Stegostoma tigrinum: one gene and its partners. The protein of the gene in region 1 interacts with the protein of each later gene in a pairwise test. Links are inferred from orthologs where the notes say so. Each region holds a gene or a part of one and is shown on either strand. Other genes may lie near its edges.

The links.
Region 2: the proteins of coil (region 1) and snrpf interact in binary tests that used the Homo sapiens proteins (3 or more experiments, as listed by UniProt). The two-hybrid records come from large-scale screens. The link is inferred for Stegostoma tigrinum from reciprocal best matches to the Homo sapiens genes COIL and SNRPF.
Region 3: the proteins of coil (region 1) and polr2l interact in binary tests that used the Homo sapiens proteins (3 or more experiments, as listed by UniProt). The two-hybrid records come from large-scale screens. The link is inferred for Stegostoma tigrinum from reciprocal best matches to the Homo sapiens genes COIL and POLR2L.

The regions. Positions count from the first base shown.
Region 1 is NC_081375.1:3,303,375-3,307,121, forward strand, and holds the start of coil (coilin), read right to left. Parts: upstream 2,552-3,747; 5' UTR 2,536-2,551; coding exon 2,273-2,535; intron 1-2,272. UniProt on the Homo sapiens protein: Component of nuclear coiled bodies, also known as Cajal bodies or CBs, which are involved in the modification and assembly of nucleoplasmic snRNPs.
Region 2 is NC_081378.1:51,004,380-51,008,126, reverse strand, and holds the start of snrpf (small nuclear ribonucleoprotein F), read right to left. Parts: upstream 2,470-3,747; 5' UTR 2,248-2,469; coding exon 2,245-2,247; intron 1-2,244. UniProt on the Homo sapiens protein: Plays a role in pre-mRNA splicing as a core component of the spliceosomal U1, U2, U4 and U5 small nuclear ribonucleoproteins (snRNPs), the building blocks of the spliceosome.
Region 3 is NC_081391.1:22,282,235-22,285,981, reverse strand, and holds the start of polr2l (DNA-directed RNA polymerases I, II, and III subunit RPABC5), read right to left. Parts: upstream 2,391-3,747; 5' UTR 2,311-2,390; coding exon 2,216-2,310; intron 1-2,215. UniProt on the Homo sapiens protein: DNA-dependent RNA polymerase catalyzes the transcription of DNA into RNA using the four ribonucleoside triphosphates as substrates.

The DNA of each region.
Region 1 (3,747 bases):
AGGAAACCAGAGCACCCGGAGGAAACCCACGCAGACACAGGGAGAATGTACACACTCCAGACAGAGTCGCCCAAGGGTGGAATTGAACCCGCGTCCCTGACGGTGTGAAGCAGATGTGCTAATCAATGAGCCACCATGCCAACCACGGTCTATACTGTCTTGCAGGGCAAACAGTCTCTGTACATATCCCTTGTCAAGTCCTATAAAAATCTTATATATTTCAAGGAGGTCACCTCTCATTCTTCTAAACTGCAACAAGCACTTGTCCAACGTACTCAAACTCCCCTCACAAGATAGGTTCTTCACATTCAGGATCAACCACAGGAACCTTCTCCAATGCCAATATATCTTTCCTTAGACAAGGGACCACAACTCATCACAATATTCCAATTCTAGTTTGGATCGTTTTAGCTAAACCTGCTATTTTTATACACCATTCCATTTGAAATAAAGGATCTCATCTATTTCACTTGTTACCTGCTGAGCTTGGATGATTTTTTTTCCTGATGCAAACAATAGGCCTCATAAATCCCTCTGTTCTATAGGTTTCTACAGTTTTTCTCCACAATGTAATATTCAGCTTCTCTATTCTTCCGAAGAGGATAGCCTCATTTCCCCACATTATATTCCATCACTCACATAACCTATCTATATCCCTCTGCAGACTCTCATCCTCACAACCTGCCTTTCCATCTATGCTTGGCACTTTTTGAGACCGCACTTGGAAATCTTATATTTAATCCTCTCATCCAAATTACAGACATAACATCAATGTGGAAGGAAACTACTGCAGTAGTTGCATGTCGATGCAACAATAACACGAATGGGGAAATACGTAGAAAATGTGCAGAGAACAGAGGCTCAGTGCTTGGTGGCATTAGGTAGTTCTGTCCAAACCCAAAAGAACTGCGGATGCTGTAAATCAGAAACAAAAGCAGAAGTTGCTGGAACAACCCAGCTCGTCTCTCACTACCTCCATTCCTCATCCCTCTCTCCCAATTCTTCCTCATCTGTCGCGTGCCATATTTCCCCCTCGCAGCTTTCCCCTCCCCCATTCGGACCCTGCCCATTCCCCACACTCTCTGCCCCATTCCCCCCCTCACACTCTGCACCCCCCAACCCTCCCACATTCCAGATCTCCCCCCCATTCCACGATCACTCTATCCTGTCCCCCGATCACCCCCCGCCATTCCCACACACCCTCCAATCCCACCCCCAATCCAACACACACAACCATTCCACCTCCCTGTCATTCCATCCCCGGCCAATTCAACCCCCATTCTCCCCCCTGCCAATCCCACCCCCACGCCAACCCACCTTCTTGCCATTCCAACACCCACTATCCCCCTGCAAACCCCACACCCACTCCTACACCCACGCCATTCCACCTCCCTGCCATTCCAGCCCCCAGTATTTCAACCGCCATTCTCCCCGCTGCCAGTCCCACCCCCATTCCCCCACCCCTTGCCCTTCCACACCCCCACCAATCCCACATCCACACCATTCCACCTCCCTACAATTCCAACCCCACGCCAATCCAGCCCCCAGCGTTTCAACCCCCATTCTCCCCGCTGCCAATCCCACCCGGATTTCCCCAGCCCTGCAGATCCCACACCCTATTCTCCACCCCTCGCCATTCCACACCCCAGCAAATCCCACACCACGCCATTCCACCTCCCTACCATTCCAGCCCCCAGCTTTTCAACACTCATTCTCCCCGCCACCGATCCCACCCCAATTCGCGCACCTGTGCGATCCCACATCCATTATCCGCCCCCCCCCCATTACACACACACCACCAATTCCAAAACCCCCCACCGACCCCACCCCCATTCCCACACGCCCACCGACCCCGCCCCCATACCCCCCACCATTCCCACCCTCATTCCCATACACCCGCCGACCTAGCCCCCCATTCCCACACGCCCGCTGACCCCACCCCCATACCCCCCCACCAATCCTGCCCCCATTCCCTCCCACCATTCCATCACCCCCATGCCCACACCCCCACTGATCCCACCACCGACCGCCAATCCCACCCCCATTGCCGCCCCGGCACCCCCGATCCCGCCCCCATTCACCCCCCCCCCGCCGATCCCGCCCCCATTCACCCCCCCCCCGCCGATCCCGCCCCCATTCACCCCCCCCCCGCCGATCCCGCCCCCATTCACCCCCCCCCCGCCGATCCCGCCCCCATTGCCGCCCCGGCGACCCCGATCCCACACCCCCCGCCGATCCCACCCCCATTCCCACACCCCCCCCCCGCCCCCACCTCATTCCCCCCGACCCCCGGGACCTGATGCAGTCGTTGTCCCGGACCAGGTGGATGCTCTCGTTGGGGGGCAGGAGGCAGCTGTCCACAAACAGGTGGAGGCGGGTGCTGCTGGCGCTGAAGCCGAAGCGCTGACGGATGATACTCTCGAGGTCGGCCACCACCCGGCAGTGCTGGGGCTGCACCAGTAACCAGCACATCCTGGAGGCCGGCAGCAGCGGCGGCGGGTACTCGAACACCAGGCGGACACGAACCGCCGCCATCTTAGAGGGCCCCGGCTGCGCGCGCAACCCGGGCCGGGGGGCGGGGCCTAGTACTACACACACCCACACACACTCCTATTGGTCCACACGCTGTGACGCCATTTTGCCCGTGCAGTGGTTGGATGGAGTGCTGTCACTCATGGGGAGGGCGGGATCTGGGTTGGGGCCCCGAAAGTGAAGGATCCGCAGGAATGGGGAGGGAGAAGAGGCCATTCAGCCCATCAAAGCCCCTCCCTTCAATAGGATCATTGCTGAGTGTTTGATGCAGATTCCACATTCTCTTCCTGTTGTTGAATACAACACTTATACTTAATTTTATTTACGCTCAGGTGGAAGCTTTACACAATCTTGTGAATTTTGCAAACTTAAAACCAACAGGTAGAGTCCATAATTAAGAAAGCGAATGTAATGTTGTCGTTTATCTCAAGAGGGTTGGAATATAAAAGCAGCGATGTGCTTCTGAGGCTTTCTAAAGCTCTAGTTAGGCCCCATTTAGAATACTGTATCCAATTTTGGGGCCCACACCTCAGGAAGGACATACTAGCCCTGGAGCGTGTCCAGTGGAGATTCACACGGATGATCCCTGGAATGCTAGGTTTAACGTATGATGAACGGCTAAGGATCCTGGGATTGTACTCATTTGAGTTTAGAAGGTTGAGGGGAGATCTAATAGAAACTTACAAGATAATGTATGGTTTAGAAGGGGTGGACGCTAGGAAGTTGTTTCCGTTAGTCGGGGAGACTAGGTCCCGTGGGCACAGCCTTAAAATTAGAGGGAGTAAATTTAAAACTGAAATGAGACGACATTTCTTCAGCCAGAGTGGTGGACTTGTGGAATTCATTGCCGCAGAGTGCAGTGGAGGCCGGGACGTTGGATGCCTTCAAGGCAGAGATCGACAAATTCTTGATCTCACAAGGAATCAAGGGCGACGGGGAGAGTGCAGGGAAGTGGTGTTGAAATGCCCATCAGCCATGATTTAAATGGCGGAGTGGACTTGATGGGCCTTACTTCCACTCCTATGTCTTATGGTCTAACACTCCCTCAGCACTGACCCTCCGACAGCACCCGCTCCCTCAGCACTGACCCTCCGACAGCGCCCACTCCGTCTGCACTGACCTTCCGACAGTGAGGCACTCCCTCAGCACTGACCATCCAACAGTGCGGCACACCCACAGTGCTGACCCTCCAACAGTGCGGCATTCCCTCAGCAC
Region 2 (3,747 bases), on another chromosome or scaffold:
GGGGTGGTCGGGGTGGGGAGAGGGGTGGTCGGGGTGGGGAGAGGGGTGGTCGGGGTGGGGAGAGGGGTGGTCGGGGTGGGGGGAGAGGGGAGGTCGGGGTGGGGGGAGAGGGGTGGTCGGGGTGGGGGGAGAGGGGTGGTCGGGGTGGGGGGAGAGGGGTGGTCGGGGTGGGGGGAGAGGGGTGGTCGGGGTGGGGGGAGAGGGGAGGTCGGGGTGGGGGGAGAGGGGAGGTCGGGGTGGGGGGGAGAGGGGAGGTCGGGGTGGGGGGAGAGGGGTGGTCGGGGTGGGGGGGGGGAGAAGAGGGGTGGTCGGGGTGGGGGGGGGGGAGAAGGGTGGTCGGGGTGGGGAGAGGGGTGGTCGGGGTGGGGAGAGGGGTGGTCGGGGGGAAAGAGGGGTGGTCGGGGGGAAAGAGGGGGGTGTCGGGGGGGGGGAAAGAGGGGGGTGTCGGTGTGGGGGAAAGAGGGGGGTGTCGGGGGGGGGGGAAAGAGGGGGGTGTCGGGGGGGGGGGAAAGAGGGGGGTGTCGGGGGGGGGGGAAAGAGGGGGGTGTCGGGGGGGGGAAAGAGGGGGGTGTCGGGGGGGGGGAAAGAGGGGGGTGTCGGGGGGGGGGAAAGAGGGGGGTGTCGGGGGGGGGGGAAAGAGGGGGGTGTCGGGGGGGGGAAAGAGGGGGGTGTCGGGGGGGGGAAAGAGGGGGGTGTCGGGGGGGGGAAAGAGGGGGGTGTCGGGGTGGGGAAAGAGGGGGGTGTCGGGGTGGGGAAAGAGGGGGGTGTCGGGGGGGGGGAAAGAGGGGGGTGTCGGGGTGGGGAAAGAGGGGGGTGTCGGGGTGGGGAAAGAGGGGGGTGTCGGGGTGGGGAAAGAGGGGGGGGGGAAGAGGGGGGGGGAAGGGGGGGGGGAAGAGGGGGGGGGAAGAGGGGGGGGGGGAAGAGGGGGGGGGGGAAGAGGGGGGGGGAAGAAGAGGGGGGGGAAGAAGAGGGGGGGGAAGAAGAGGGGGGGGAAGAAGAGGGGGGGGAAGAAGAGGGGGGGGGAAGAAGAGGGGGGGGGGAAGAAGAGGGGGGGGGGAAGAAGAGGGGGGGGGAAGAAGAGGGGGGGGGGAAGAAGAGGGGGGGGGAAGAAGAGGGGGGGGGGAAGAAGAGGGGGGGGGGAGAAGAGGGGGGGGGGAGAAGAGGGGGGGGGGAGAAGAGGGGGGGGGGAGAAGAGGGGGGGGGGAGAAGAGGGGGGGGGAGAAGAGGGGGGGGGGAGAAGAGGGGGGGGGGAGAAGAGGGGGGGGGGAGAAGAGGGGGGGGGGAGAAGAGGGGGGGGGGAGAAGAGGGGGGGGGGAGAAGAGGGGGGGGAAGAAGGGGGGGGGGGAAGAAGAGGGGGGGGGAAGAAGAGGGGGGGGGGAAGAAGAGGGGGGGGGAAGAAGAGGGGGGGGGAAGAAGAGGGGGGGGGGAAGAAGAGGGGGGGGGGAAGAGGGGGGGGGGAAGAGGGGGGGGGAAGAGGGGGGGGGAAGAGGGGGGGGGAAGAGGGGGGGGGGGAAGAGGGGGGGGAAGAGGGGGGGGGGAAGGGGGGGGGGGGAAGGGGGGGGAAGGGGGGGGGGAAGGGGGGGGGAAGGGGGGGGGGGAAGGGGGGGGGGGGAAGGGGGGGGGAAGGGGGGGGGAAGAGGGGGGGGGGAAGGGGGGGGGGGGAAGGGGGGGGGGGGAAGAGGGGGGGGGGAAGAGGGGGGGGGGGAAGAGGGGGGGGGGGAAGAGGGGGGGGGGAAGAGGGGGGGGGAAGGGGGGGGGGGAAGAGGGGGGGGGAAGAGGGGGGTGTCGGGGGGGAAGGGGAAGAGGGGGGGAGGGGGAAGAGGGGGGGAGGGGGAAGAGGGGGGGAGGGGGAAGAGGGGGGGTGGGGGAAGAGGGGGGGTGGGGGAAGAGGGGGGGTGGGGGAAGAGGGGGGGTGGGGGAAGAGGGGGGGTGGGGGAAGAGGGGGGGTGGGGGAAGAGGGGGGGTGGGGGTGGGGGTGGGGGTGGGGGTGGGGGTGGGGGGAGGTCGGGGAAACAGACCGCACCCCCACCCCCACCCGAACACACCTTTCCGATGAGGGAGGGAAGTTACAGATCAATACCCACGCACCACCCTCCCCCCCCCCCCGGCCCCCGGGACGGTTTCGCGATGCGGGCTCGGGGGGAGGGTTTAACTTCAGTGCCGGTGCAGCCTCACGGACCAGGCCGCAAGCGCTCCCAGCCTCCGCCACCCCGGGCTGTGCGTGTACGCGGCAGGTTCCCTCACCATGCCGGCGCCTGTGGGACAGTCGGAAGGAAGTGGGATGGTCTGAACGGGACGGCTCGGCTCGGACACGGACACGGAATGACGGCTGCTCCGGAACGGGACGAACTTTGTGTCAGAGACCGACACACGCGGGGAGGAGCGCCAAAGGCTGGGAGCAGGGCCTGCTGGGAACCGTAACCCTTCACCTCTCACCCTCCCGCCGCCATATTGGGTGGCGGTTACCACGGAGACCGACAGCTCGGCGGCGAAAGGCCGTAAGCGAACCTTCAGAGTTGTGCAGCTGAGCCCCGTGGAGTAATGGCCAAGGATCTTTTACAGCAGGTACCACAGAGACATTTGACACGATTAATAACAACAACAGGTCTGGGGTGGGAGCCAGGTTCTGGTGCGTCTTGACAGTCAGTATTGGTGTTTGCAGTAAAATCTCCAGGAGGACGGCACAGACAGAGATGAAAGGGTGAGCCCTGTTCAGGGGCGAGACGAAGCCAATGGGCAGCGGTCAGGGGTGGGTTTGGGGGTCGGGTGGCCAGATTTTCAAAAGCCTGAGTGAACCAAGGATCGTTGAATCAGAGAACAGTGGAGGGAGACCATTCAGCCCATCATGCCTGCGTTGGCTCCCTGAGCATCATGACTTGTCTCCTGAGATGCTGCTTGGCCTGCTGTGTTCATCCAGCTTCACACTTTGTTACCATGACTTGTCTCCTGCCCGTTCTTTCGATTTTAATAATGTCCTCTTTCATTGCCTCAGTCGAACCTGCCTCTCGCGTACTTGCTGATAGTGTATTTCCAGAACCAAACTACTTGCTGTGCGAAAAGTTTTTATTTCTTACATCACACTTGCCTCTTTTGCAAAGCACTTCAAATCTCCCAGAGAGAAGAGTCTGTTAAATTAAGAAATCAATAATACTTGGAAATGAACAGACTGATCTCTCCATGTTGATGTAAAAAAGATGAGTACGTCTAGTATGTGACTGGTGTGTTTCAAACCTTTTACAGAACAGTTTCTTCCAATCAACTCATTGGAAGGTCATGCAAGATTCAGGCACCGTGATGATCAACATGTTGGGGGTGAACAGTGCCTGGTGTTGAAAGTGAGAGGACATGTGATGACATCCCCCCCCCCCGCCCCAATATCTCCAACCAGAGCTGTGTTTTGTTTTAAGCAGGCTGTTTCGTTATGTTGTGACACAACCCCATGACCTTCAAACCTTGAGGTGGGACTTGAATACAGATCTTCTAGACCAGGGGTGGGGACATCACTGTATCAGACACTTTGGACATCCAAACAGTTTGCAACACCTTTCATTAGATATTTTATAGGCTATTACCAGCAGAAGAGACATTGGTGTCAAGAAGCTCATGACAACTGTCTTGGAGATGCCAAGAGGGAAGTGGTACCGGGAGGGATCAGATATAGGTCCAATGCATGCAATGCCACGTGATGAGTGCATTCAGAAAAGAAGGCCTAAATCTGACTCACGGTTTCTTCCCGCCAGGCCCAGT
Region 3 (3,747 bases), on another chromosome or scaffold:
GATCAATGGCCAACATGGACTCGGTAGGTCTCTCTCTGTGCTGTGATATCAACAAAGAACATTACATGCAGCGAATCAAATTGGCTGAAGACTGGTATCTGAGATGCCAAAGACCACTGGAGGCCAAGATGTGCCATCCACTCAGCATTTCTGACTGAAGATGGTTGCAAATGCTTCAGCCTTATCTTCTGCGCTGGTGCTGGGAATAATGGTGGAGCCCCCTCTTCAAGGGCGACGTTGATTATCTACCACCATTCATGACTTGATACAGGAAGACTGTACAGTTTAGATCTGATTCCGCTGGTTTTGAATCACTTAGCTTTGTCTATCTCTTGCTGCTTATGCCTCTTGATTTGTAAATAGTCCTGTTTCATAGCTTCACCGGGTTGACAGCTCACTTTTAGGATAACGTGGAAATGCTCTGACACACCTTACTGCACTCTGCATTGACCTAAGGTTGATCCCCTGCTTGGTGTTACTAAGAGTTGGGGATATATTGGGCCATGAGGTTGCAGACCTGGCAGGTAGAGGCACTGTAATATTTAAATATTTAGATTTGCACTTGCGATGCCAAAGCATACATGGCTATGGCCAAATGTAGAAAAACAGGATTAGAATAATTAGGTAACAAAGTGTGGAGCTGGATGAACACCGTAGGCCAAACAGCATCTTAGGAGCTCAAGAGCTGACGTTCCGAGCCTACTTGTTGGGCCAAAAAGCCTTTCTCTGTGCTGTATTATGACTATGCTTCCATAGAGGGACTTTTGCCCCTAATCCTTATTTGGGGACTTGCATGAACCACAGTTTAAAATTCGTAACTGATTGAACAAACTGTTTTTTAAACACATTCCACCACCCTACTGTGGGTGTATAAAATGTCTCTTCCCAATTTATCTCATGATCTTATTGAATTACAGAACAGACTGTAAGTCTCAGGAGCAGAACAAGGCCATGTAGCCCATCAAGTCTGCTCCACTATTCAATGAGATCATGGTTGATCTGATAACTCAACTCCATTTTCCTGCTGTTTCCCTACAATCCTTCATTCCTTTACTGATTAAAAATCTGTGTCTCAAACTTGAGCAAGAGAATCTGTGGGAAAGAATTCCAGATTCACTACCCTCATAAGAGATTCCTCAACTCTGGTGTAACTGAGCAATTCCTTAGTCTGTCATTATACCCTCTAGTCCTAGACTCTCCAAGATGGAGAAACAACTTCTTAGCATCCAACCCGTCATGCCAACACCACGTCCCCACCTTCCAATAACTTTTTGCTTTAATGAGGCCACCCAGCCAATCTTCTGAGTCCAGTGTTCTGGCTGAGCCAACTCAACATCTCAAGAAAATCCCTCCACAAGCAGGATCAGCCTCAAGAGCCTTCTCTGGATCACCTGCAATGGCAACGTGTCTTTCTGTTGATAAGGGTTCTAAATCAGTTCACAGCATTCCAAACATCTGGCTCAAGGGTCAATACTCCCTACTTTGACTCCTAATTCATACAGATGTACCACTTGGCCATATCTTGGCTTTTCATAAATTCGACCAAGGCTGATACTAAGGTGGAGAACTGGATGAACACAGCAGGCCAAGCAGCATCGGAGGAACAGGAAGGGTACCGTTTCGGGTCACGAAGAAGGGCTCAGACCCGAAAGGTCAGCTTCCCTGCTCCTCTGATGCTGGTTGGCCTGCTGTGTTCACCCAGCTCCAGGCCGGTGTTATCTCACTGTCTCCAGGATCTGCAGTTTCTACTATCTCTGAGGCTGACACTGTTGGCGCTCTGTCCAAGTTTGTTTTATATTCACCCGCGGGACCTGAGTGTCACTGGCTTGACCAGCATTAGTTGCCCAGAGAGGGGGGAGCCCAGTCACCCACACTGCTGTGGGTCTGGAGTCACATGTAGACCAGGCCATGGTGTGGGTGGCAGATTCCCCCCCCCCCCCCCAAAGGGTATTAGCGAACCAGGTGGGGTTTTCTCACAAACTGGCAAGGGGTTCATCACCAGACTCTTCACTCCAGGTTCAAACCTGTTTCCCCGGAACATTAACCCGGGGCTTTGCACTCATCGTGGCACCGGGCCTCCCCGTTGTCCCAGTGAGTCCGGCCAGAGTCTGGATGGAAGGTGCGGGCGCTGCCCGAGGCCGGTGTTGTTGTTGTTGTTGTTAGGCCCCAGGCCCCAGGCCTCTCCCCGCCCACCCCGCCCCCGGCTGTTACTCACCCCTCCGTGTACTCGGCCTGCAGCAGGCCCAGGTAAGCCTCCCACTTGTTGCCGACCACCTTGCCGCAGGTGAAGCAGCGGACCGGGATGATCATGGCGCCGTCTCCGAGAATGAGTCGTGGGGACGGAAACTCCGCTTCTGGAAACTTCTCCCAGCGTCAGCCCACTGCGCATGTGCTGGGGGGGGGGGGAGAAAATGATGTCCCGCGGGCAGATTGCGCATGCGTGCCGTACTGGGCCTGCGGTGAGGAATTGAGAGCAGCGGGGGGCGCTGTTTCTCTCAATTTCACCTCCAAAGTGGGAGGAGGGGCATGAGGTGGGTCTCAGAGACTACAGGGTCAAGACTTGTTACCCATTTCCTAATTTCAACCTTTACAAGGTGTGGGTGGGTTGCTGTCTAACCAGAGCAATGAAACAGCACAGCAGGGGCCATTCAGTCCATCCTGCCTGTGCTGACCCAAATGCCTTTGCAATCCCACCTTCCTGCACACAACCCATAGTTTTGCAGATTACAGCACTTCAGGCGCAGATCGGGGACTTTCGAAAAGAGTTTAGAGCCGTTGCCTCCATCACCAACTCACACAGCAAATTCTAGACACACATCATCGTCTGCATAAGAGATAATAGGAACTGCAGAGGCTGGAGAATCCGATATAACAAGGTGTAGAGCTGGCAGGCCAAGCAGCATCTTCGGAGCAGGAAAGCTGACATTTCAGGCCTAGACCCTTCATCAGAAATGGGGGCGAGGAAGAGGGTTCTGAAATAAATAGGGAGAGAGGGGGAGATGGATCAAATATGGATAGAGGAGAAGATAGGTGAAGAGGAGACAGACAGGTTAAAGAGGCGGGGGTGGAGCCATGAAAGGTGAGTGTAGGTGGGGGAGGTAGGGAGGGGATAGGTCAGTCCGGGGAGGACGGACAGGTCAAGGGGGCAGGATGAGGTTAGTAGGTAGGAGATGGGGGTGGGGCTTGAGGTGGGAGGTGGGGATAGGTGGGAGGAAGGGCAGGTTAGGGAGACAGGGATGAGTTGGGCTGGTTTTGGGATGCAGTGGGGGGACGGGAGATTTTTAAGCTTGTAAAATCCACATTGATACCATTGGGATGCAGGGTTCCCAAGCGGAATATGAGTTGCTGTTCCTGCAACCTTCGGGTGGCATCATTGTGGCACTGCAGGAGGCCCAGGATGGACATGTCATCTGCGGAATGGGAGGGGGAGTTGAGTGGTTCGTGACTGGGAGGTGCAATTGTTTATTGCAAACTGAGCATAGGTGTTCTGCAAAGCGATCCCCAAGCCTCCACCTGGTTTCCCCGATGTAGAGGAGGCCACAATGCGAACAGCAGTATACCTCATTTGCAGATGTGCAGGTGAACATCTGCTTGATGTGAAAAGTCATCTTGGGGCCTAGGATGTGGGTGAGGGAGCAGGTGTAGCACTTCCTGCGGTTGCAGGGGAAGGTGCCGGGTGTGGTGGGGCTGGAGGGGAGAGTGGAGCGGATAATGGAGTCACGGACAGAGTGGTCTCTCTGGAAAGCA